Linked DNA regions of Arabidopsis thaliana. Each later gene encodes a partner of the first gene's protein in a complex. Each region holds a gene or a part of one and is shown in the gene's direction. Other genes may lie near its edges. The genes, in order: EIF3A, TRIP-1, EIF3K and EIF3C.

What was found.
Region 2: EIF3A (region 1) and TRIP-1 share a complex: the UniProt entries of both Arabidopsis thaliana proteins name them as parts of the eukaryotic translation initiation factor 3 (eIF-3) complex.
Region 3: EIF3A (region 1) and EIF3K share a complex: the UniProt entries of both Arabidopsis thaliana proteins name them as parts of the eukaryotic translation initiation factor 3 (eIF-3) complex.
Region 4: EIF3A (region 1) and EIF3C share a complex: the UniProt entries of both Arabidopsis thaliana proteins name them as parts of the eukaryotic translation initiation factor 3 (eIF-3) complex.

What each region holds. Positions count from the first base shown.
Region 1 is NC_003075.7:6,946,971-6,954,376, reverse strand, and holds EIF3A (eukaryotic translation initiation factor 3A), read left to right. Parts: upstream 1-1,897; 5' UTR 1,898-2,003; intron 2,004-2,266; 5' UTR 2,267-2,323; coding exon 2,324-2,369; intron 2,370-2,475; coding exon 2,476-2,957; intron 2,958-3,045; coding exon 3,046-3,261; intron 3,262-3,394; coding exon 3,395-3,763; intron 3,764-3,851; coding exon 3,852-3,881; intron 3,882-3,970; coding exon 3,971-4,198; intron 4,199-4,313; coding exon 4,314-4,475; intron 4,476-4,591; coding exon 4,592-4,813; intron 4,814-4,903; coding exon 4,904-5,110; intron 5,111-5,191; coding exon 5,192-5,398; intron 5,399-5,487; coding exon 5,488-5,568; intron 5,569-5,724; coding exon 5,725-5,926; intron 5,927-6,031; coding exon 6,032-6,543; 3' UTR 6,544-6,901; downstream 6,902-7,406. Other genes in the region: AT4G11430 (hydroxyproline-rich glycoprotein family protein), read right to left, coding at 135-764, 1,549-1,578; AT4G11410 (NAD(P)-binding Rossmann-fold superfamily protein), read left to right, coding at 7,191-7,296. UniProt on the Arabidopsis thaliana protein: RNA-binding component of the eukaryotic translation initiation factor 3 (eIF-3) complex, which is involved in protein synthesis of a specialized repertoire of mRNAs and, together with other initiation factors, stimulates binding of mRNA and methionyl-tRNAi to the 40S ribosome.
Region 2 is NC_003071.7:19,002,634-19,007,633, reverse strand, and holds TRIP-1 (TGF-beta receptor interacting protein 1), read left to right. Parts: upstream 1-1,901; 5' UTR 1,902-2,126; exon of another isoform or gene 2,127-2,212; 5' UTR 2,213-2,240; coding exon 2,241-2,424; intron 2,425-2,572; coding exon 2,573-2,788; intron 2,789-2,883; coding exon 2,884-3,017; intron 3,018-3,114; coding exon 3,115-3,234; intron 3,235-3,344; coding exon 3,345-3,434; coding exon of another isoform or gene 3,435-3,455; exon of another isoform or gene 3,456-3,527; coding exon 3,528-3,614; intron 3,615-3,714; coding exon 3,715-3,794; intron 3,795-3,902; coding exon 3,903-3,978; 3' UTR 3,979-4,476; downstream 4,477-5,000. Other genes in the region: AT2G46290 (Transducin/WD40 repeat-like superfamily protein), read left to right, coding at 1-204, 340-555, 652-785, 886-1,005, 1,108-1,197, 1,293-1,379, 1,467-1,546, 1,649-1,724; GBF3 (G-box binding factor 3), read right to left, coding at 4,733-4,912, 4,998-5,000. UniProt on the Arabidopsis thaliana protein: Component of the eukaryotic translation initiation factor 3 (eIF-3) complex, which is involved in protein synthesis of a specialized repertoire of mRNAs and, together with other initiation factors, stimulates binding of mRNA and methionyl-tRNAi to the 40S ribosome.
Region 3 is NC_003075.7:16,038,112-16,042,653, reverse strand, and holds EIF3K (eukaryotic translation initiation factor 3K), read left to right. Parts: upstream 1-1,845; 5' UTR 1,846-2,036; coding exon 2,037-2,150; intron 2,151-2,240; coding exon 2,241-2,297; intron 2,298-2,390; coding exon 2,391-2,504; intron 2,505-2,734; coding exon 2,735-2,785; intron 2,786-2,866; coding exon 2,867-2,933; intron 2,934-3,127; coding exon 3,128-3,210; intron 3,211-3,393; coding exon 3,394-3,588; 3' UTR 3,589-4,003; downstream 4,004-4,542. Other genes in the region: CDC20.2 (Transducin family protein / WD-40 repeat family protein), read left to right, coding at 1-150, 253-522, 603-1,184, 1,278-1,421. UniProt on the Arabidopsis thaliana protein: Component of the eukaryotic translation initiation factor 3 (eIF-3) complex, which is involved in protein synthesis of a specialized repertoire of mRNAs and, together with other initiation factors, stimulates binding of mRNA and methionyl-tRNAi to the 40S ribosome.
Region 4 is NC_003074.8:20,832,889-20,839,145, reverse strand, and holds EIF3C (eukaryotic translation initiation factor 3C), read left to right. Parts: upstream 1-1,870; 5' UTR 1,871-2,081; intron 2,082-2,271; exon of another isoform or gene 2,272-2,294; 5' UTR 2,295-2,325; coding exon 2,326-2,349; intron 2,350-2,437; coding exon 2,438-4,192; intron 4,193-4,432; coding exon 4,433-5,356; 3' UTR 5,357-5,736; downstream 5,737-6,257. Other genes in the region: AT3G56160 (Sodium Bile acid symporter family), read left to right, coding at 91-112, 297-364, 752-837, 959-1,079, 1,155-1,256, 1,336-1,413. UniProt on the Arabidopsis thaliana protein: Component of the eukaryotic translation initiation factor 3 (eIF-3) complex, which is involved in protein synthesis of a specialized repertoire of mRNAs and, together with other initiation factors, stimulates binding of mRNA and methionyl-tRNAi to the 40S ribosome.

The sequences.
Region 1 (7,406 bases):
AATAAAAAAACATTTACGAGAAAAAAATATGGGTGAATTGCAAAACTAACTGTTTTTGATAATTTATTTAAGAAACTAACACTATAATATACAAAATGTAGAAACTAACACTAGAGGGTAGTAAACTTACTAAATTAGTCTTTTTGATTGGAGATGGTAGTGGTGGTGATGGTTGTGGCCGGCGGTGGTGGATGGAGTTGATGGTGGTCGGAAGTGTTGGTGATCGGTGTGGTGGTTGCCGGCGGTGGTGGTGGTGGCCGGTGGTGGTGGTGGCCGGTGGTGGTGGTGGTGACCGGCGGGGTGATGGTCGGCGGTGGTGGTGGTGGTGGTGGTGGTGGTGGTGGTGACCGGCGGTGGTGGTGGTGGCCGGCGGTGGTGGTGGTGACCGGCGGGGTGATGGTCGGCGGTGGTGGTGGTGGTGGTGGTGGTGGTGGTGGTGACCGGCGGTGGTGGTGGTGGCCGGTGGTGGTGATGGCCGACAGTGGTGGTGGCGGTGGTGGTGGTGGCCGAAGTTGGTGGTGGCCGGAGTTGGTGGTGGCCGGATTTGATGGTGGCCGACAGTGACGGTGACCGGTGTTGGTGGTGACCGGAATAGATGGTGGCCGAAGTTGGCGGTGATGGCCGGCGGTGGTGGCAGGCAGTGGTGGCCGGCGGTGGTGGCAGGCAGTGATGGCCGGCGGTGGTGACCGGTGGTGGTGACCGGTGGTGGCCGGCGGTGGTGACCGGCGGTGGTGGCCGGCGGTGGTGGCCAGCGGTGGTGGTTGCTACTGAAGGTATTGAGGCAACAAGGGCAAATTGAGTAATATTACATATAATACAGAGAATATTATAATTACATAGTTAGGATGGTTAGTTAGTGAATTATAGTTTTTTTGTTAGTTATTTCTGCAAATTTCCCAAAAAAATATATCAATTTCCACTAATTTTTTTTATGTACATGTTGGATTCTAGAAAATCAATGAATTTAACAAAACAAATTCATGATCATCGCACAAATTGGCTAAAATATTGTTGATTTTGGAATTGGATGGAAGGTTAATTGTAGATTATAACGGAATTTAAATTGTTTGAATCTTGGAGTAACTCAAAAATATAGATCAAAATGATTACATATGGCTATGTTCTATTGCAAATCGTGAGCGACAGTTCCGACAAAAAAAATACGTCGATAGTAAAATAATTCAAAAATAATCTGTTATATTAATTTTCCATCACATATTTCCAATGCCTTGCTTAAATATATATTTTGAACTGTATAATGTTCTTATACTCTTGTTACTTACCTAGTATAATTAAGAAAAAAACAGTTAAAAGTAAGCTAACAATCCCTATTTGTAATAGAAAAAATCATATTCAAATTTTCAATTTTTTTATATAAATGCAATAATCATAATTAATTTTTTTTATATGAATTTATAATTGCCCAATTATAAATATTAAAGCGGGTTAACACAATTATACTTTAAAAAAAATTTAATTGAATAACATCAGATTCTATATTACACTTTAAGTCATTAAAACTCTTTTGAAATCATAAACCAATAACACCCTTTTACAGTTGAATTTTTTACCTTTCATGATTTTATGTAAATCAATTGTTTTTTTGAAATGAATTTTTGTAGTGGCATTTTATGTAATATTTAATATGTTGTTGGCTATTTACTTAAATGTATGTTTAGTTAATAATATAGAAATATCAAAGTTAATTGCTAAAAATATTATTAAACAAAATATAGAGAGTATATTGTAAATGATAATTCGAAAATGAAATCCATAAATTTTGTTGATCTCAATTGAATCACATCCCAGTATTAGACAAATTGGGTTTTATAAACACTAAGAAGATAAAACGGGGTCATTTCGAAACCGTAAGAAAATAGGATGATTTCTGCAAATATGGGTAATATATATGTAGAACGATAATATTAATACCAGAAACCCTAGAGTTGCTTCCGCTTCGCTTCTCGTCTCTCTTATCAGTCTTCTCTTTTCACGGCTACAAGGTTAGTCCTAAGTTTCGGCTCTGTTCTTGCATCAGTGATTGGATCTCTACTGCCTTTTAATCAAATCTCATTGAATTGATCTGGGTTAGGGTTTGGGTCAGGTTATCGAATCTTTCTGTGTTATTTTGATTCTATGAAATGAATTTAGGGTTTGGGCAAGTTTTTTCTGGTCTATGTAGCTTCCATCCTTTTCTGAGATATCTGATTGGGTTTTTCGGATTCTGGTGATCTCTGTAACAAAATCGCTTCTCTGTGTTTTTCAGGCTAATTGAGAGTGTCCCTTGCGTTAGAGTTTGTTACTAGCTTTTTTCGTCTGAAACATGGCGAATTTTGCCAAACCAGAGAACGCGTTGAAGCGTGCTGATGGTAAGTTACGAAATGTTTTCGTTTTAACATCCATTTGGTCAAATGGATGTGGTTAGGGTGTGTATGAATTGAGATTGTGTTAAACACTTTTTTTTTGTGTGTGTAGAATTGATCAATGTTGGACAGAAACAAGATGCTCTTCAGGCGCTTCATGATCTCATTACTTCCAAGAGATACAGAGCTTGGCAGAAACCGCTTGAGAAGATCATGTTTAAGTATCTTGATCTTTGTGTTGACTTGAAGAGGGGTCGATTCGCTAAGGATGGATTGATTCAGTATCGTATTGTTTGCCAGCAAGTGAATGTCAGTTCCTTGGAGGAAGTTATCAAGCACTTCCTACATCTTGCTACTGACAAAGCTGAGCAAGCTCGGTCTCAGGCGGATGCCCTTGAGGAGGCTCTTGATGTTGATGACCTTGAAGCTGATAGGAAGCCTGAGGATTTACAGCTAAGTATTGTCAGTGGGGAGAAGGGAAAAGATAGGTCTGACCGTGAGTTGGTCACCCCATGGTTTAAGTTTCTGTGGGAGACATACAGGACAGTCCTTGAGATATTGCGAAACAACTCAAAGTTGGAAGCACTTTATGCGGTTTGTTTTCTTCTAGGTTAAGCTTATTGGTGATACCTCTGATTTTAAGTTGATTGAGATTGAAGACTTGTACTTTATAATCTTGTAGATGACAGCACATAAAGCCTTCCAGTTCTGTAAGCAGTACAAGCGAACAACAGAGTTCCGTAGGCTTTGTGAAATTATAAGAAATCATTTGGCAAACCTGAACAAGTACAGAGACCAAAGGGACCGACCTGACTTATCAGCCCCTGAGAGCTTGCAGCTGTATCTGGACACAAGGTTTGATCAGTTGAAAGTTGCTACTGAGCTTGGACTTTGGCAGGTGCGTTTTTGTTTTCTATGTGTATTTTTCTGATGCTACCTTCTCTATTCCATATTTAGTTTGGCTGTATATAGCTTATCCTCTGTATAATTACTGGAAATAAGTTAGTATGGTTCGTGATGTATCTTTGCAGGAAGCTTTTCGCTCTGTTGAAGATATCTATGGATTAATGTGCATGGTCAAAAAAACGCCCAAGTCATCTTTATTGATGGTTTATTATTCCAAATTGACTGAGATCTTCTGGATTTCTTCTAGCCATCTTTATCATGCTTATGCATGGTTTAAGCTGTTTAGTCTGCAGAAAAATTTCAACAAGAATTTAAGCCAAAAGGATTTGCAGCTAATAGCGTCATCTGTTGTCTTGGCGGCATTGTCCATTCCACCATTTGATCGGGCTCAGAGCGCATCCCATATGGAACTTGAAAATGAGAAAGAACGCAATTTGAGGATGGCTAACCTCATTGGATTCAATCTTGAACCTAAATTTGAGGGCAAAGATATGGTAACATAGGTTCTTATGTTGCTTCATTTTTATTTTGCGCCCTTTCTTTCTGGTTTAGTATTCTAATTCCATTTCCTTCCTGTTTCAGCTTTCCCGGTCAGCTCTTCTGTCAGAGCTGGTGAGTCTCTAGCTGTTACCCTGTCTGTGGTTTAGAATATTTGTCGACTTACAAATATCTGATTTGGAGGCTGATTTTTATGCAATTAGGTTTCAAAAGGTGTTTTGAGCTGTGCATCTCAGGAGGTCAAAGATCTTTTCCATGTTTTGGAGCATGAATTTCACCCACTTGATCTTGGCTCCAAGATTCAGCCTTTGCTGGAAAAGATTTCCAAATCTGGTGGGAAACTGTCCTCAGCTCCTTCTTTACCAGAAGTGCAACTTTCCCAATATGTTCCTTCTCTGGAGAAGCTTGCTACTCTGAGGCTACTTCAACAGGTAAGCCTTGTTCTCTATGTTGTAGGTCAATACCCATTCAACCATTTTGGATTTTTCTGGTGGTTTATCCCTTTTTCTGCATACTAAATGTTCTATGTTCCGATTTTATTTTCAGGTGTCTAAGATTTATCAGACAATAAGAATTGAGAGTTTATCTCAGTTGGTACCCTTCTTTCAATTCTCAGAGGTAGAGAAGATTTCTGTTGATGCTGTGAAGAACAATTTTGTTGCCATGAAAGTTGATCACATGAAGGGTGTTGTAATTTTTGGAAATTTGGTAAGCCTCTGTTAAAGCTTCAGCTCAACACTGATTATATCATATGTAGTTGAGTAATATAATTTTTAACTTATTGACTAAATACTAATCTATTTGATCAACTGTTTGTATATTAGGGTATTGAGTCTGATGGACTGAGGGATCATCTGGCTGTTTTTGCCGAGTCTTTGAGCAAAGTAAGAGCTATGCTGTATCCTGTCCCAAGTAAAGCATCAAAACTAGCTGGCGTTATACCAAATTTAGCAGATACTGTTGAGAAAGAGCACAAAAGACTGCTTGCTCGTAAATCAATCATTGAAAAGAGGAAGGAGGATCAAGAGCGTCAGCAACTAGAAATGGTAGTTACTTTTCCATGGTTATTTGCACAGCTCTCCTTTTACGCTGTACCTGTTTATGAAAATTCCTTTATTTGATGTTTACTTTTGAAGGAACGTGAAGAGGAGCAGAAACGGCTTAAGCTTCAGAAGCTAACTGAAGAGGCAGAACAAAAGAGACTTGCAGCAGAGCTTGCAGAGAGAAGAAAACAAAGAATCCTTAGAGAGATAGAGGAGAAGGAGCTTGAAGAAGCCCAAGCTTTACTGGAAGAGACAGAGAAGCGCATGAAAAAGGGAAAGAAGAAGCCACTTTTAGACGGAGTAAGTTTACCAATATGTTAGCTATTATATAGTTCACTGATTAACTTATTACTAATGTCGGTTGGGTTAAACTAAATATAGGAGAAGGTGACAAAGCAATCTGTGAAGGAAAGGGCCTTAACTGAGCAGCTCAAGGAAAGGCAAGAAATGGAGAAGAAGCTTCAAAAGCTTGCCAAAACGATGGATTATTTGGAAAGAGCAAAGAGAGAAGAGGCTGCTCCATTGATTGAAGCTGCATATCAGCGAAGACTGGTAGAGGAAAGAGAGTTTTATGAGCGTGAACAACAGGTACTTACTGTTTCAGTAGTTTTTCTTTTCTTACAACTTGGTTCTGTGTTGGAAGTATATGAGGTCTTAAAAGCTCTTCTCCTATGCAGCGTGAAGTTGAACTCAGTAAAGAGCGTCATGAGAGTGACTTGAAGGAGAAGAACAGGTTGTCCAGAATGTTGGGTAATAAGGTCAGTCTTTGACATGTCATGTTGTTTCTCTTAATGTTCATCTTTGATCTGAATCTCTTTTCGTTATTGAATTAATTTTAAAGCTCTCTAGTTTCTTACATTTTTCCTGTAACTTTTCCTTCCAATGTACTTATAATCGAATCTTTCTGTGCCCAGGAAATATTCCAAGCACAAGTGATTAGTCGTCGACAAGCAGAGTTTGACAGAATCAGGACGGAGAGAGAGGAGCGTATCAGTAAAATAATCCGAGAGAAGAAGCAAGAAAGGGATATCAAGAGGAAGCAGATATATTATTTGAAAATTGAAGAAGAAAGGATTAGGAAGCTGCAGGAAGAAGAGGAAGCTCGCAAGCAGGAAGGTGTGGACTTGCTTCCATAAATCCACATCATTTTGACTTTGATATTGAAGTTTTTCTTAATAACCCCTTGTTTCTGTTTATTTTTTGGGTTTTCCTCTAATGTAGAAGCTGAGAGGCTCAAGAAGGTAGAAGCTGAACGCAAAGCAAACTTGGATAAAGCTTTTGAGAAGCAAAGGCAGAGAGAGATAGAGCTGGAAGAGAAAAGTAGGCGGGAACGAGAAGAGCTGTTGAGAGGAACTAATGCACCACCTGCTCGCCTTGCAGAGCCTACTGTTACTCCTGTTGGAACTACCGCACCAGCAGCAGCAGCAGCAGCAGCAGGAGCACCAGCAGCACCTTATGTTCCGAAGTGGAAGCGCCAGACTACTGAGGTCTCAGGCCCATCAGCACCAACATCATCAGAAACTGACCGACGGTCCAACCGTGGGCCGCCTCCCGGAGATGACCACTGGGGAAGCAACAGAGGAGCCGCTCAGAATACTGACCGGTGGACTAGTAATAGGGAAAGATCTGGACCTCCAGCTGAAGGAGGAGACCGTTGGGGTTCTGGTCCTAGAGGCAGTGATGATCGCCGATCCACATTTGGAAGCTCCAGGCCCAGGCCAACACAGCGTTGAGTAATAATAATTTTTTTGGTCTCAATCTCCATGGGAATGAATGAAAAAGGTTATCTCTGGATTTTCAACATCACAGCACTCTTCTTTAGCCCAAACCTGTCTCTTCTTCTTTTGAAGATTGCTCATCTTTTATAAGTTTTTATGAAAGATTTTAAAACATGTTAGACTCGTTTTTTGCTCTACACACCCAGAGAGAGTTGTTATTTCCTTCTTCGGTTGGATCTTTCTTTGTTTGTCCAATTTATTTCCAACTTTCTGCTGTAAAAACCTTTGACATTGATCAGCTTCTCTTTCAAGCAAACTTTTTGTTAATTGCTTATTATTAGTTTATGAAGAACAATAAACGAATACCAAATTTCACATTTAACAACATTTGTATCAAAAATGTAAATAGTGTATACAAACATCTTTATTCTTATCTCTGGATTAAGGAAGAAAACAAATGAAACTGTAATTAATACTTTTATACGAGATTCTTCAGTGCCTTGTTTTGAGAACAGAGCATGGGCACATTGCAAAAGCTCTCGGAAAAAGAAATTTTATAATTGGTCAACTTTACTAGGGTGTGTGTTTGATCATCAGCTAGCGTTGGTTTGGTTGAGATTAGACTTTAATTTTGTGGTACAGAAGATAGAAACAAAACAAACATGTGGCCTTTTTGGTGGAAAGGAGCATCTGGGTTCTCTGCTCGTTCCACAGCTGAAGAAGTCACTCATGGAATCGATGGTACTGGTCTCACTGCTATCGTCACAGGTCCTCTTCTTCTTCTTCTTCTTCTTCTTCTTCTTCTTCTTCGTGCAGATGTTTTCAACTTTTTTATGATCTATGTTCAGTCTATAGTTTAATTTCTTGGTTTTGATCCT
Region 2 (5,000 bases), on another chromosome or scaffold:
ATCAAACCCTAGAAACGAGGATGAGGCCGATTTTGATGAAGGGACATGAACGTCCATTGACGTTCCTGAGGTACAACAGAAATGGTGATCTGCTTTTCTCCTGCGCCAAAGACCACACTCCCACAGTCTGGTTTGCCGATAACGGCGAGCGTCTTGGCACTTACCGTGGCCACAGTGGTGCTGTTTGGTGCTGTGATATCTCCAGTAAGTGGTCTCAGCCTCTCAAATTCAAATAGTATATAGTGGATGGAATGGATTCAGTTTAGGATTTAAGTCGTTGTCTTTGTTGTTTTAGTCTTTCATAGCTTAACGATTAGTGTTTTGTTTGTGATTTCTTAGGAGACTCGTCTAGATTGATCACTGGTAGTGCTGATCAGACTGCAAAGCTGTGGGATGTGAAATCTGGCAAAGAATTGTTCACTTTCAAGTTTGGTGCCCCTGCAAGGTCTGTGGATTTCTCTGTTGGTGATCATCTTGCAGTGATTACCACTGATCACTTCGTGGGAACTTCCTCTGCTATTCATGTCAAACGCATTGCAGAAGATCCCGAAGACCGTAAGTTGTCAATTCTAAGTTAAAATCTACTTATGTTTTTTAGCCTATGTCTTTTTTGTATGGGTAAAAGGAATTGATTTAATGTAATTGATGTAGAGGTTGGTGATTCTGTGCTTGTCCTTCAAAGTCCTGATGGAAAGAAGAAGATCAATAGAGCTGTTTGGGGTCCCCTGAACCAAACCATTGTTAGTGGTGGTGAAGATGCTGCTATCAGAATCTGGGATGCAGAGGTATTTCAACTTTCTTAAGGCCTTTCTTTTGTCTATCAATATCTCTCTTTTTTTTTTTATTAGCTTAAACCTTATGTGGTGCTACTGCCATTGTTACTAGACTGGAAAATTGCTTAAGCAATCAGATGAGGAAGTGGGTCACAAGGAGGCCATTACATCCCTCTGCAAAGCAGCTGATGACTCTCACTTCCTTACAGGTTCACATGACAAAACTGCAAAGGCATGTGCTTCTTTCTTTTACTTGTTTCAAAAATATGCTCTATACATATTACATATAGAGATAAATCATCTAATAGAGTGTTCTTTTTGTTGATTCTTTCAGCTTTGGGACATGAGAACGCTGACTCTTATTAAGACTTACACCACTGTGGTGCCTGTAAATGCTGTCGCCATGTCTCCACTTCTCAACCATGTATGCACTAATGCTTCTTGAAATTCAAATTCGGTTCCCAAAAGCAACAAGTCTTGATGTTATCTTTGTGAATGTTTCTGCTCTCGCTCTTTTAGGTTGTGCTTGGAGGTGGTCAAGATGCATCAGCTGTGACTACCACTGATCATCGTGCTGGGAAGTTTGAAGCTAAGTTTTACGACACGGTTAGTGTTGCAGTAAAACAGTTTTATTTAAAAACTTGTAACCTGGAAAGAGATATGTAACTGTGTATTTGGTCTTATAATATATAGATTCTGCAAGAGGAAATTGGTGGCGTGAAAGGTCATTTTGGACCTATTAATGCTTTGGCATTCAGTCCTGATGGGAAGAGGTAAACTAACAAAATTTGATTTTGATTGATTGATACAATCCTCAGTTGATGAGAGTGTTTTTTAGGCTTTGTTGCTGAGTGTTTTTTGGAATGTATTTTCAGTTTCTCTAGTGGAGGTGAAGACGGCTACGTGAGACTGCATCATTTTGACTCCAATTACTTCAACATCAAGATTTAGATTCTTTGAACATGTCTTTCCATTTTTTCATCATTCCACATAATATTTTCTCTCTTTTTAACATTTTCAGAATTGATGTACTACCAAATTACCAATATACTACTTTGATGATAAAGCTTGTTGTTTGTCTTTTCAAATAGACATATGCACCCACAAAAAAAAAACGTATGAAACTGCTTTTGAGAAAGGAAAAAAACAAAATAGGCGCAACGGGCGAGGTTCGAACTCATCAAATAGGGAAGAAGCTAAAAACGCTGAAGCCACTGAGCTTTGCTAAACTGTGGCATCTCGAGTAATTTAAAAAATTACAAAAGGGTAAAAGTGTCAAAAGAGAGGACAAAGTTGATTTCCTAGGGTTTTTGCACTTCTTCCTCGTCGTCTCTCTCGTCTTCAAGTGAACAGGTGAAGAAGAAAGCCGTTTTCCGTAATCGTTTCTTCAATTATTTTTCTTGTCTTTTGATTGATTCGATTTCGTATCTGTTTCAAAGATTCGCATCAAACCCTAAGAAACTGAAGATGAGGCCGATCCTGATGAAGGGACATGAACGTCCATTGACGTTTCTGAGGTACAACAGAGAAGGAGATCTGCTTTTCTCCTGCGCCAAGGACCACACACCCACCCTCTGGTTTGCCGATAACGGCGAGCGCCTTGGAACTTACCGTGGTCACAACGGTGCTGTTTGGTGCTGTGATGTCTCCCGTAAGTTTCTCAATTTCTCTTCAAATAGTATCGAGTCGATGATTAGATTCATTGTTTCCCCTTAGCTACAAGCTTGTTTAGGGTTTATAGTATCGAGTGAATTCTGTCGTCTTAGTCTTTCAAAGCTGAATGTTTAGTGATTTCTTAGGAGACTCGTCAAGATTGATCACTGGTAGTGCTGATCAGACTGCAAAGCTGTGGGATGTAAAATCTGGAAAAGAATTGTTCACTTTCAAGTTTAATGCCCCTACGAGGTCTGTGGATTTCGCTGTTGGAGATCGTCTTGCAGTGATTACCACTGATCACTTCGTGGACCGTACCGCTGCTATTCATGTGAAGCGTATTGCGGAAGATCCTGAGGAACGTAAGTTGTACATTCCTAGCTGAATTACTACTTACGTTTTAGCCAACTTCTTGTATGTGTTAAAAGGAAATTGTTTGTTTGATGCAATTGTGTAGAGGATGCTGAGTCTGTGCTTGTCCTTCATTGTCCTGATGGAAAGAAGAGGATCAATAGAGCTGTTTGGGGTCCCCTGAACCAAACTATTGTTAGTGGTGGTGAAGATAAAGTTATCAGAATCTGGGATGCCGAGGTATTTCAATTTTTCTTAAGGCCTTACTTGTGTATTAATTTCTCTCTTTTAAGGTTATGAACTAAACCTTATGTGGTGCTACTGCCATTGTTACTAGACGGGAAAATTGCTCAAGCAATCAGATGAGGAAGTGGGTCACAAGAAGGACATTACATCGCTCTGCAAAGCAGCTGATGACTCTCACTTCCTTACAGGTTCACTTGACAAAACTGCAAAGGCATGTGCTTCTTTCTTTTACTTGTACAGTATATCTTGTTTCAAATTTTTGCACTATACATATAGATATAAATCATCTAATAGAGTGTTCTCTTTTGTTGATTGTTTCAGCTTTGGGACATGAGAACGCTGACTCTTCTTAAGACTTACACCACTGTGGTGCCCGTAAATGCTGTCTCCCTGTCTCCACTTCTCAACCATGTATGCACTAATGCTTCATGAAATTCAATTTCGAATCCCAGAATCAGCAAGGCATGATGTTATCTTTGTGAATGTTTCTGCTCTCTCTTTTAGGTTGTACTTGGAGGTGGTCAAGATGCATCAGCTGTGACTACCACTGATCATCGTGCTGGAAAGTTTGAAGCTAAGTTTTACGACAAGGTTAGTGTTTATAATAAGAGTGTTTTACTTGGAAACATGTAACCTGGAAAATACACATATTTAAATAACCGTGTATCATTGTGTTTGGTATAATATATAGATTCTGCAAGAGGAAATTGGTGGTGTGAAAGGTCATTTTGGACCTATAAATGCTTTGGCATTCAATCCTGATGGGAAGAGGTAAATTAACAACATTTGGATTTTGATTGATTGACACAATCCTCACATGATGAGGTTTTGAGTGTGTGTTTTGGCTCTCTCACTGAGTTTGTGGAATGTATATTTCAGTTTCTCTAGTGGAGGTGAAGACGGTTACGTGAGGCTGCATCATTTTGACTCCGACTACTTCAACATCAAGATTTAGATTCCGACTACTTGAACGTCAACCTTTTAGAATCTTTGAAAAAGTCTCCCATTCCGGATTTTGTTTTCTCTCTCTTTTAACATTTTCATGTTTTTATTTACTACCAATACAAATACCTTGATGATAAAGCTTTTGAATTTTGACAGAATCTTTAGTTTTCATTTCCAGAGTTCTCAGTACAAGTTAATTAACCTGCTCTATGTGTGAGCGAGCATTAATATTCAGCTTTTATAAAATAAACTCGGTTGTAGAAAAGAATGCCTTGTGTGATTGACAGTCCTCAAGAGTAGCGAAGAAAATCACCCAAAGACAGACTCATAATGTTTGTGATATTCGTGATGATTATTGGATCTATAAATTTTCGGAGAGAGATGTATGAAACCTGAAAAGAAAGATCCTTTATGCATGAAACCTTGACAAAAGAAACAAAAGCTTACGCAAAGCAATAACACCGATTTCATAAAATTACATCAGGTCTAAAACAAGGAAATGCAACAAAGGAAGCCATTTTATAAAAAAAGAAAAGCCTCTCTATATTAACAGTAACAAACCATAACACCAAATTTTCATCTGGAGGAAAAGTTTCTCTTTCTCCCTCTCTCTCTCCGAAAATTTATAGATCAATAATCATCACACCTCTCTCTCTCTCTCTCTCTCTACTATACTATCTATCAAGTTTTTCTGAAATTAGTAGCACTTATTTTCTTTGTTTATGTCGACAAATTAAGTAGAAATCGACATGAATTACCATCGATCAGCCTGCAGCTACTGCTTTAGCTCGAGGCTTCGTATCGAGCAGTTGATGCAATTTGCTTGTAGAGTTAGAATCATTGTCTCCTTGGTTCTTGTTCTTATCTCCAGCTCCTGAGTTCTTAACTCTAGACAACATATTTGCGGGGACTCTCTTTTCGGGTTCCGAGCATTTCAGTTTGTCCTGCAACCCAAAAAGAACCGGCCATGTTCAAGAAAATGACACGCCTTCATAAAGATAATTTGTTGGTTAATGATAGCTTACTTACCAA
Region 3 (4,542 bases), 9.1 Mb from region 1:
CAATTGGCTGAGACCATGAACTTGAACCACACAAGGATTCTCGCCTTCAGAAACAAACCTCAGGCTCCTGTCGAACTGCTTCCGAGCAATCACTCTGCTTCTCTTCACCAACAACCCAAATCTGTAAAGCCTCGTCGATACATTCCTCAGGTATGTACTGTATTTATTGCGTTTGATCCTTAAAGCTCACTTACTGGTTGCTGCATTAGAGTTGTATTGATCTGTTGCTAAACTTTCTGTTGTGATTAACAGACTTCTGAGAGAACCTTGGATGCACCTGACATTGTTGACGATTTCTACCTCAACTTGCTGGACTGGGGAAGTGCAAATGTCTTAGCCATAGCGTTGGACCACACTGTCTACTTGTGGGATGCTTCCACTGGTTCTACATCTGAGCTTGTGACCATTGATGAGGAGAAGGGACCTGTCACAAGTATCAACTGGGCTCCTGATGGTCGTCATGTTGCAGTTGGACTCAACAACTCTGAAGTCCAGCTGTGGGATTCTGCATCCAACCGTCAAGTAATTACTACTCTCTCTCTTTTATGTTGAGATATAATATCCGGTGTTCTTAGTCTGATGTGTTTCTCATATTTCTGCAGCTGAGAACATTAAAGGGTGGTCACCAGTCAAGAGTAGGATCACTGGCATGGAACAATCATATCCTTACTACTGGAGGAATGGATGGACTGATCATCAACAATGATGTGAGGATCAGATCACCCATTGTGGAAACTTACAGAGGTCACACTCAAGAAGTTTGTGGGCTCAAGTGGTCAGGATCTGGACAACAACTAGCAAGTGGTGGCAACGACAATGTGGTACACATCTGGGATCGTTCTGTCGCTTCCTCAAACTCAACCACACAATGGCTGCACAGGCTTGAGGAACATACATCTGCTGTGAAGGCTCTTGCGTGGTGCCCTTTCCAAGCGAATTTGCTTGCAACTGGTGGTGGTGGAGGAGACAGGACGATAAAGTTCTGGAATACTCACACTGGGGCTTGCTTGAATTCAGTAGACACTGGTTCCCAAGTTTGTTCGTTGTTATGGAGCAAGAATGAAAGAGAGTTGCTTAGCTCACATGGGTTTACACAGAATCAGCTTACACTTTGGAAGTACCCATCCATGGTGAAAATGGCTGAGCTCACTGGTCATACATCAAGAGTTCTATATATGGCCCAGGTAACGTCATCAATTTCTTTAAGTGGTGAAGTAGTTTGAGTCTTTGAGGTCATTCAGTCCTTAAACTTGTGTTGTTTGTTGTGTTTTCTACAGAGTCCAGATGGTTGTACTGTAGCTTCAGCAGCAGGAGACGAGACCCTGAGGTTTTGGAACGTTTTTGGAGTACCAGAGACTGCAAAAAAAGCTGCACCAAAAGCAGTTGCCGAGCCATTTTCTCATGTGAATCGTATTCGATGAAGCTGTTGAAGACTAAAACAACAAGGAAAACCCATTGATTGTTACAAAAAGAAACTATATATTTTTATTTTTATTTTATTACCAAAGGATTCATTCTTCGTGAATATAAAGATTACTTGTATATATTGAAATTTGAAAAAAGAAAGATTATGATTTTATACTCTTGAAGGATATCCACATTTATTATTCTACTGGAAACAAAGTGAGACTTCATGAAGTTGTGATCAGAGAACTCGTAGATGCTGACAGTTTTGTTTGAAAAGATGTTCACTGGTGAACTTTTGGACCATGGTTAATCGAATGCAAACTCTAGTGTAGTATCAATCTTTAAAAGCAAACTGAGAAAATATTTATTTACCGAGTCTGTGGCATCAAAATGGCTTAAAAATAGTTATTTACTAAACAACCCTTTGTAGTTTCTCTGTCATCCTAATTTAACCCAAACGTTTTGTCAATTGCACCATTAGCCCAAACGACAAAGCTTTGTCGTTTTGGCTTTTAAACCCTAGATTCGTCTTATCAGCGAATCTCCTCTGCACATTCCTCAGTGATCTATCAAAGTTCGAAGAGACCGACGCAAAAGGGACAGAAACGGAGAAGGAGAAAGAGGCAGAGATGGGAGTAGAGATCCAATCGCCGCAGGAACAGAGCTCTTACACCGTTGAGCAGCTCGTCGCCCTTAATCCTTTCAACCCTGAAATCCTGCCTGATCTCGAAAACTACGTTAACGTGCAGTTTCCTTTCCCTTTTCTCTCAAGCCGGATTCTGTTGTAGAAATCGTGTTCCATTGATTGTTGTTGGTTTCGTTATGATTTTCAGGTTACATCGCAAACGTATAGTCTGGAAGTAAACCTATGCTTGCTTCGGCTCTATCAGGTGCTCTAGTTGTTCTTAAGCTGGACCTTTTGATACCAAATTCAAGAGTTTTAGTGTCTCTTTTCGTTAATTGGTATTGTTGCTTTTATGCAGTTTGAGCCTGAGCGCATGAACACTCATATCGTGGCTCGAATCTTGGTCAAGGCTCTTATGGCTATGCCAACTCCAGACTTCAGCCTTTGCCTCTTCTTGATTCCCGAAAGAGTGGTATTCTTCTTTCCTCTTAACTTCACAATGTTTTGCTTTCTTACATATATAGCTTATCGTAGATACAGAAGAAACGATTGTTCAAATGTTTCTGACTCAAGTTATTATGCCATTCCAAGTTATTTCTGTCAGTTCAGTCTGTGTACTGAGCATTCATGATAAAGTGTGAGTTTCAATGTGTTGGATTCTTGAGGACTAATAAATGTACTTGTTTGGATTGTGTGTTTCAGCAAATGGAGGAGCAGTTCAAGTCACTAATTGTTCTATCACACTACCTTGAGGTACGCAAACATCAGTATTAGTTAGTTGAGAGTTGAAAAGGTGTGCATTGAGTATTTAAAGCACTTGTTTTTCTTTTGCAGACTGGGAGGTTCCAACAGTTCTGGGATGAAGCTGCCAAGAACCGTCACATTCTCGAGGCTGTTCCAGGTAACTAACTTCTGAATCATAAATAAATCGTCTACTAATAACAAATTTCTAGATGTAGATTTGTTACTTAAGGATATTTGTGTGTAGATGTCTTATGGTACGAACAAAGTCCTCAGTAGTGGTTTATGGTACTGTCTATTCATTTTATGATTGTGTCTAGTGTAGATGTCTTATATGCGAGAGATTAAATGCAGGTTTTGAGCAAGCTATTCAAGCATATGCAAGTCACCTTCTTAGCTTAAGCTACCAAAAGGTTCCAAGATCAGTGCTGGCTGAGGTATGATGTTTGGTTTATGATCTCGTTTTCACCACGGATAGCTTAAGTCATCAAAATAGTAGAACTTCGGATGTGAAATCTTTTACTTTCTCATATAATTTTCTGTTACGAATATTCCACATCATAGTTCTGGAAATCTAATTTGTTGACCTTTTATTTGTCAATAAATGACAATTTTCACAGGCTGTTAACATGGATGGTGCATCTCTAGACAAATTCATCGAGCAGCAAGTGACTAACAGTGGATGGATTGTTGAGAAAGAGGGTGGAAGTATTGTCTTACCACAAAATGAATTTAACCATCCGGAGCTCAAGAAAAATACAGGTGAGAATGTTCCCTTGGAACACATTGCCCGCATCTTCCCCATCCTTGGTTGAACCAATTCATGAGAACACTGCAAATTTTCCTTTTGTCTCTTGTTATCTTGTGATGTACACTTTTAAGACACCGTAATGTGAATTTTGGCAATGGCCTTCCTCTTTGCAATTTGACAGATTTTCTTAAAAATCTAGTAGACCGAGACTTTGCCATAATTAGTAGATCTTCATAGTCTGAGCTCTGCTTCTTACCTTTTTTTTTACCTTCCATGGATTCCAATACTGGTTTCTCAACAAGTGTTGGAATTGGCTCGTTTCTGATTGATTATCTTCTGTTTACTTCATTACATCTAAATAAACTAAACGAATCTTCAGACAACCCAAACAATTGTCTTCTTTAAAAAGCAAAGGAAAAAAAAAACTTTTGTTTAGGTTTCTTGGAATATAGAAACTGACACGGCAAATTTGTATTGAGAAAGTTTGAAATACAAAGAGACTGTCTATGTCTTGTCGTCCTCTCTACACAGATCACATACGAAGATTGACAGCCATCCATTTGGAAGCTCACATGTTGACACCAAATCATGTCACGTGCACAATTTTCTCTTTTCCCATGCATATTTTGACTGCTCCCTATGTGATAAATTTGACTGATTAAACTATAATTAGTTAGATCATCTCGTATCTAAGATGATTGCTTAAAACAATACTATTATTCTACTAACAACTAGGTTATTCCCAAGATCATAACTTTTGATTTTGATGTAACTAGTTTTGTAATTTTGTACATATATGAGACTTTTTTGAATTGCTTAACAGAATAAATAATTGAATTTTATGAATATAATATATAAATTTTCAATTTGATCGACAACAATGAACGGTGTTTTATTTATAATTGTTTTTTTGACAATCATGAACCTAATGATTTGTTTTTTCTATTTTATTTAGTCGACATAATGAAGACTAATGAAGATACAATATGTGATTGAAGTGAACAAGTTAGATTTAATT
Region 4 (6,257 bases), on another chromosome or scaffold:
ACAGTCATTTCAGCATGAAGTTCTATCACTTGCCATTTTGCACACGTTTTTAAAATCGAGCTTTGACATACTTGGTTTCTTCTGTTATAGGTTATTCGAGAATCATTCAAAGGTGAGCGCCATTTGTTATATTTTACTTCTCTGGTGAAAGTAATTGAATACATACCATTTTAAATAGTTAGCAGTCACTTTATCGTGACAATGGATCAAAATGGTTCTGTTTATAATAAATATATATGCTTATCGCTGCCTACTTTCTGACCTTGTTGAAACTCTTGTTGAAATGTGTGATACAGGTTTCGCAAACTTTGTTGACAATAACCGTAAACTCTTTTCGAAAATCAACGCAATCTGCCTCAGTTTGGTAAGATATGAAATGTTAGTCTCCCGTAATTTCTACACCCCTTGAATAACTTTCTGAAGTCATATCCTTGGAGTTTTGCTTTGTTGCAGGAATCTTAAACTTGGCATTTTAGATGCCTGTACTTAAAACTTTCTCTTTTCTTGTATGATAGCTTGGGATTTCAACATTCCGTGGCATTGATGTGCCAATCCAAAGCTTTTACTAAATTGCAAAAACCATATTTGCAGTCACGGTTATGACTTTGGAGATAGAAGGACTTAATACTTTTTTCCTTTTTATAGTTTAACCTCTGCTTCCCTGGCTACTTCAACTGGTCTGACTTTGTTATTGCATTTACCTGGTTATTTTGGGAACTTAATAGTGTTTATTCCATGATTAATATTCTAGGTGCCATGGATCCAAGTGAGCAGGTCAAGATCACTGCTACTATCCGTTCAACCTAAGGTTTTCCTTGCAGCAGTTGGCATTGGAATGTACGCATTCTTCTTTTAACATATAGAAAAGATACCAAGTGAAGAAGCTCATGGAAATATTTGGCTTGTGTGTTAGAAATGCGGATTACGTTTGACAGAAGATTCTTACGTCTTCTTACAGATTGCTGCATCTTTCTCTACTAGCATTCAATGCTGTTTCAATCCGCATCCTCTCCGGTCTTACAGGTGGTAGCAAGAGCTCCAAGGAAAACAGCACTGCAGTTTTGCTCGTTTCAAGCCAGGTAATAATAGAGTTTGCCTTTTAGAACCGATTTTGATCTCTTAAATTTGGGAGTTCTTTTCTTGTGGTGGCATAGAAAACATTACCGGTAATGGTGGCGGTAGTAGAGCAATTAGGAGGTGCATTTGGTGAGACAGGGCTATTGGTTCTTCCTTGTGTAGCTGCACACCTGAACCAGGTTACAAATTGTATTATAATCATCATGTACTTGTGTGCATAATTTTATAAATTATTGACGTAAATCTGGAATGTTACAGATCATGATTGATTCAGTTCTTGTCAACTTATGGCTCCGGAGAGGAAAAGATACTTCGACTAAAGTAAAGACAGCTTGAGAGAGAGAGAGAGAGATAGAAAGCAATGAAACCAATGCTGTGGAGAAGGTTACATCCTAAACACACTGAATGTCAGTTATATACATAGCAGCAAGACTGGGGATTTTGATATCTTTCCAATCACCAAAGCTTAGTTGATCATTGACCATCTCTCTCTCTCTCTCTCTTTCTGTATGTATATGCTCTAGAGATTCCGGTCGGTGTTTGCTGATCCAATTTGTATGATTTATGAAACTATGTAAAAAAAAAACTTGTATCTATATTTGAAAACATTTAGTCATTTGACGTTACCAGCGTACAAAGCAATTCATATGTAATCTGTCTGATAAGCAGCTAGGAAAGAGGACTAAGAACCGGTTCTTTTCTCAATTTAATTGAACTAACCATCACTACAATTTCATTTAGTCCTGGTTCGACCAATTCGGTTTGTAAATAAAATAAAAACCGATCGAGAGCGTTTTAATTGTCCTCGGTTTTCAGTTTCGGTATGGAAATAGAATCAAATCGAATCCGGTTTAGTGAGTAAATCACGAAACCCTAATTCTATATATTTTTTCATCTCGACCAAAATGCTTGGACGGCTACACACCATTTTTGTTTAGATTCGTAATCCTCCTCAAGCATCTCCTTCGCAAATCTCCATCTCCATCTCCATCTTCTGAATTCAGGTAATTTTGTTCCTCATCATCTAGCGTAACAAATTTTCGATTCTAGTTTGGTGTAGATTGATTCGAATCGATTCTAATTCTTTGTTGATACGAGTCTGTATCTGTGACACGATTGTTTCGTTCAGATTATGTTCTTCGAATGGATTGGTTTGTTTTACTTATAATTTCGTTCCTCTGATTCACTATTCAGATTTGTTACTTTTGGTGTATCAGGTTCTTGTTGCTTACGCTTCCAGCTAAAAAGATGACGTCTCGTTTTTTCACTCAGGTTTCCTTCAACAGACCTCTTGTTTATAAACTCTCTTTACCTTTACTTGCTTCAGTTTCTGAATGATTTTTACTTGTTATGTTGATAGGTTGGAAGTGAAAGTGAAGATGAAAGTGATTATGAGGTAGAGGTTAATGAGGTTCAGAATGATGACGTCAATAACCGTTACCTTCAAAGTGGTAGTGAGGATGATGATGATACTGATACGAAACGTGTGGTTAAGCCTGCTAAGGATAAACGTTTTGAGGAGATGACCTACACTGTTGATCAGATGAAGAATGCTATGAAGATCAATGATTGGGTCAGCCTTCAAGAAAACTTTGATAAGGTTAACAAACAGCTTGAGAAGGTTATGAGGATTACTGAGGCTGTGAAGCCTCCTACCTTGTATATCAAGACGCTTGTTATGTTGGAGGATTTCTTGAATGAAGCTCTTGCCAATAAGGAAGCCAAGAAGAAGATGAGTACTAGTAACTCCAAGGCTTTGAACTCAATGAAACAGAAATTGAAGAAGAACAATAAGTTGTACGAAGACGATATCAACAAGTATCGTGAGGCTCCAGAAGTTGAGGAAGAGAAACAACCTGAAGATGATGATGATGATGACGATGATGATGATGAGGTTGAAGATGATGATGATTCTTCCATCGACGGACCTACCGTAGATCCTGGGTCCGATGTGGATGAACCTACTGATAATCTCACTTGGGAGAAGATGCTGAGCAAAAAAGATAAGCTTTTGGAGAAGCTAATGAATAAAGATCCTAAAGAGATCACTTGGGACTGGGTCAACAAGAAGTTCAAGGAAATTGTGGCTGCTCGTGGAAAAAAGGGCACTGCTCGATTTGAGCTAGTTGATCAGCTTACGCACTTGACAAAGATTGCCAAGACTCCTGCACAGAAGCTTGAAATCTTGTTTAGCGTTATTTCGGCTCAGTTTGATGTGAATCCAGGTCTCAGCGGGCACATGCCTATCAATGTCTGGAAGAAATGCGTGCTTAACATGCTCACCATACTGGACATTCTCGTCAAGTACAGTAACATTGTTGTGGATGACACAGTTGAGCCTGATGAGAACGAAACTTCAAAGCCAACAGATTATGATGGAAAAATTCGGGTCTGGGGAAATTTGGTTGCATTCTTGGAGAGGGTTGACACTGAGTTTTTCAAGAGTTTGCAATGCATTGATCCTCACACCCGTGAGTATGTTGAGAGGCTAAGGGATGAGCCCATGTTCTTGGCCCTTGCTCAGAACATCCAGGACTACTTTGAGCGGATGGGTGATTTTAAAGCTGCTGCAAAGGTAGCCTTAAGACGTGTTGAGGCAATATACTACAAGCCCCAGGAAGTTTATGATGCAATGAGGAAATTGGCTGAGTTGGTGGAAGAAGAAGAAGAAACTGAGGAGGCCAAAGAGGAAAGTGGACCTCCTACTTCATTTATTGTTGTTCCGGAGGTTGTTCCCCGTAAGCCTACCTTCCCAGAGAGCAGCCGAGCTATGATGGATATTCTTGTGTCCCTTATCTACAGAAATGGAGATGAGCGGACCAAAGCGCGTGCGATGCTATGTGATATCAATCACCATGCTTTAATGGACAACTTTGTGACTGCTAGAGACCTGTTGCTGATGAGTCATCTGCAAGACAACATCCAGCACATGGACATCTCAACACAGATTCTCTTTAACAGGACCATGGCGCAGCTTGGTCTTTGCGCCTTCCGGGCTGGAATGATCACTGAGTCCCATAGCTGCCTTTCCGAGCTGTACTCTGGTCAAAGAGTGAGAGAGTTGCTTGCCCAAGGTGTCTCGCAAAGCCGATACCATGAGAAAACCCCGGAGCAGGTAACTAGTTATCTTCTGTTTTTAGATTTAATACAGATAGGATTGAAAAAAAATTGTTTGACCAGATAGTTCTGATTGAGACATGATTACAAACACTGTTGCATTTTTGGGTTCTTCATTTTGTTTCATTTCACACAATCCATTTTCTCTATTTCAACATGGATGCTTATGGTTATGTTTTTCGTTCAGTTTATTTATATGTGATATAAAACTTTCTTGGTTTATTTCTTGATTTACCAGGAAAGGATGGAAAGGAGAAGACAAATGCCGTACCACATGCACTTAAACCTTGAGCTTCTGGAGGCAGTTCATCTCATCTGTGCCATGCTTCTTGAAGTCCCAAACATGGCTGCAAACTCGCACGATGCCAAACGCAGAGTGATTAGCAAGAATTTCCGCCGCCTGCTCGAGATCAGTGAAAGGCAAGCATTCACTGCACCGCCTGAGAATGTACGTGACCATGTCATGGCAGCCACCAGAGCCCTGACCAAAGGAGATTTCCAGAAGGCGTTTGAAGTTTTGAACTCTCTTGAGGTCTGGAGGCTGCTCAAGAACCGTGACAGCATCCTTGACATGGTGAAGGATAGGATCAAAGAAGAGGCTCTAAGGACTTACCTATTCACATACTCAAGCTCTTATGAGTCCTTGAGTCTTGATCAGCTGGCCAAAATGTTTGACGTCTCTGAGCCGCAGGTCCACAGCATTGTGAGTAAGATGATGATTAATGAGGAACTGCATGCAAGCTGGGATCAGCCAACACGATGCATCGTCTTCCATGAAGTGCAACACAGCAGATTACAATCATTGGCTTTCCAGTTAACGGAGAAACTCTCGATTTTGGCAGAAAGCAATGAGAGGGCAATGGAATCTAGAACCGGTGGAGGTGGTCTGGATCTGAGTTCAAGGAGAAGGGACAACAATCAGGACTATGCAGGAGCAGCATCAGGTGGTGGTGGATATTGGCAAGACAAGGCGAATTACGGACAAGGAAGACAAGGCAACAGATCAGGTTATGGTGGAGGAAGATCATCTGGACAAAATGGTCAGTGGTCAGGGCAGAACCGAGGAGGAGGGTATGCAGGAAGAGTTGGTTCAGGAAACAGAGGTATGCAGATGGATGGCTCAAGCCGTATGGTGAGTCTTAACCGAGGTGTTCGTACTTAAAGAGGATGAGGAGAAATCTGCAGTGTTGACCTTAGTCTCAACCTTTTGTTATGTTTTGGATTCCTTTTGGTTATCAAATGGTTCTTTCTAAGAGATGTTCATCACATTTTCTCGCATTGTGATTGTTTATTTTCTTTGTGATATTGGCAGTTGTTGGAAAAGACTTTTAAGAATGCTTTACTGGAAAGTTTAATAAGTTTTTTTTTATGCGTCATTCTTGTTGAAAAGAAGAAGGCTTAGGTTTTTTCTCGTATGCTTGCAGGTCTGTTTTTGTTGATGTCTTTTACTCTTTCATCTTTGTTTGCTTAGTAACTTCCTCTCGATGAAGTGTTTGATTAATTTCTTATCAAGAACATCTGTGATTTAATCGGCTACTTTCGTGGAGCTAGCGACAATGAATATTGTTGAGAAAATTCTTTTTTTTTTTTGGAACTCTTATCTTATTATAACTCATGTTGTATGGCAAACACAGATACAAAAAAGAAACACAAGCTTGTCGTAGTAAGTACTAAGTAGTAACTAGTACAAGTGACATGGTTGCATTTGCCAAAGCCGGATAAAGATGCTGAAGAAGTATCCGGTGGAGTGAAAGGCTCTTCTGCTGCACTTAAAAGGATAATAATGCTGTGGACTTGCGGCTCAGAGACGTCAAACATTTTGGCCAGCTGATCAAGACTGGAGGACTCATAAGAGCCGGATAAAGATTCTCTCAGCAATCTTCACATCACTCATATTGTTAGTTATTGTCACTCTCTCTCTACTCTATGTTGAATCTGCACAATTAATGTTGATGATTTAAATGTCCTTTTTCTTTGCTTACATACCAAATAGAATTTCTGAACCACAACTTATTGCCAGCTGAGATACCATCTCCTTCTCCCGTGCAAAAGTATTTGTCAAC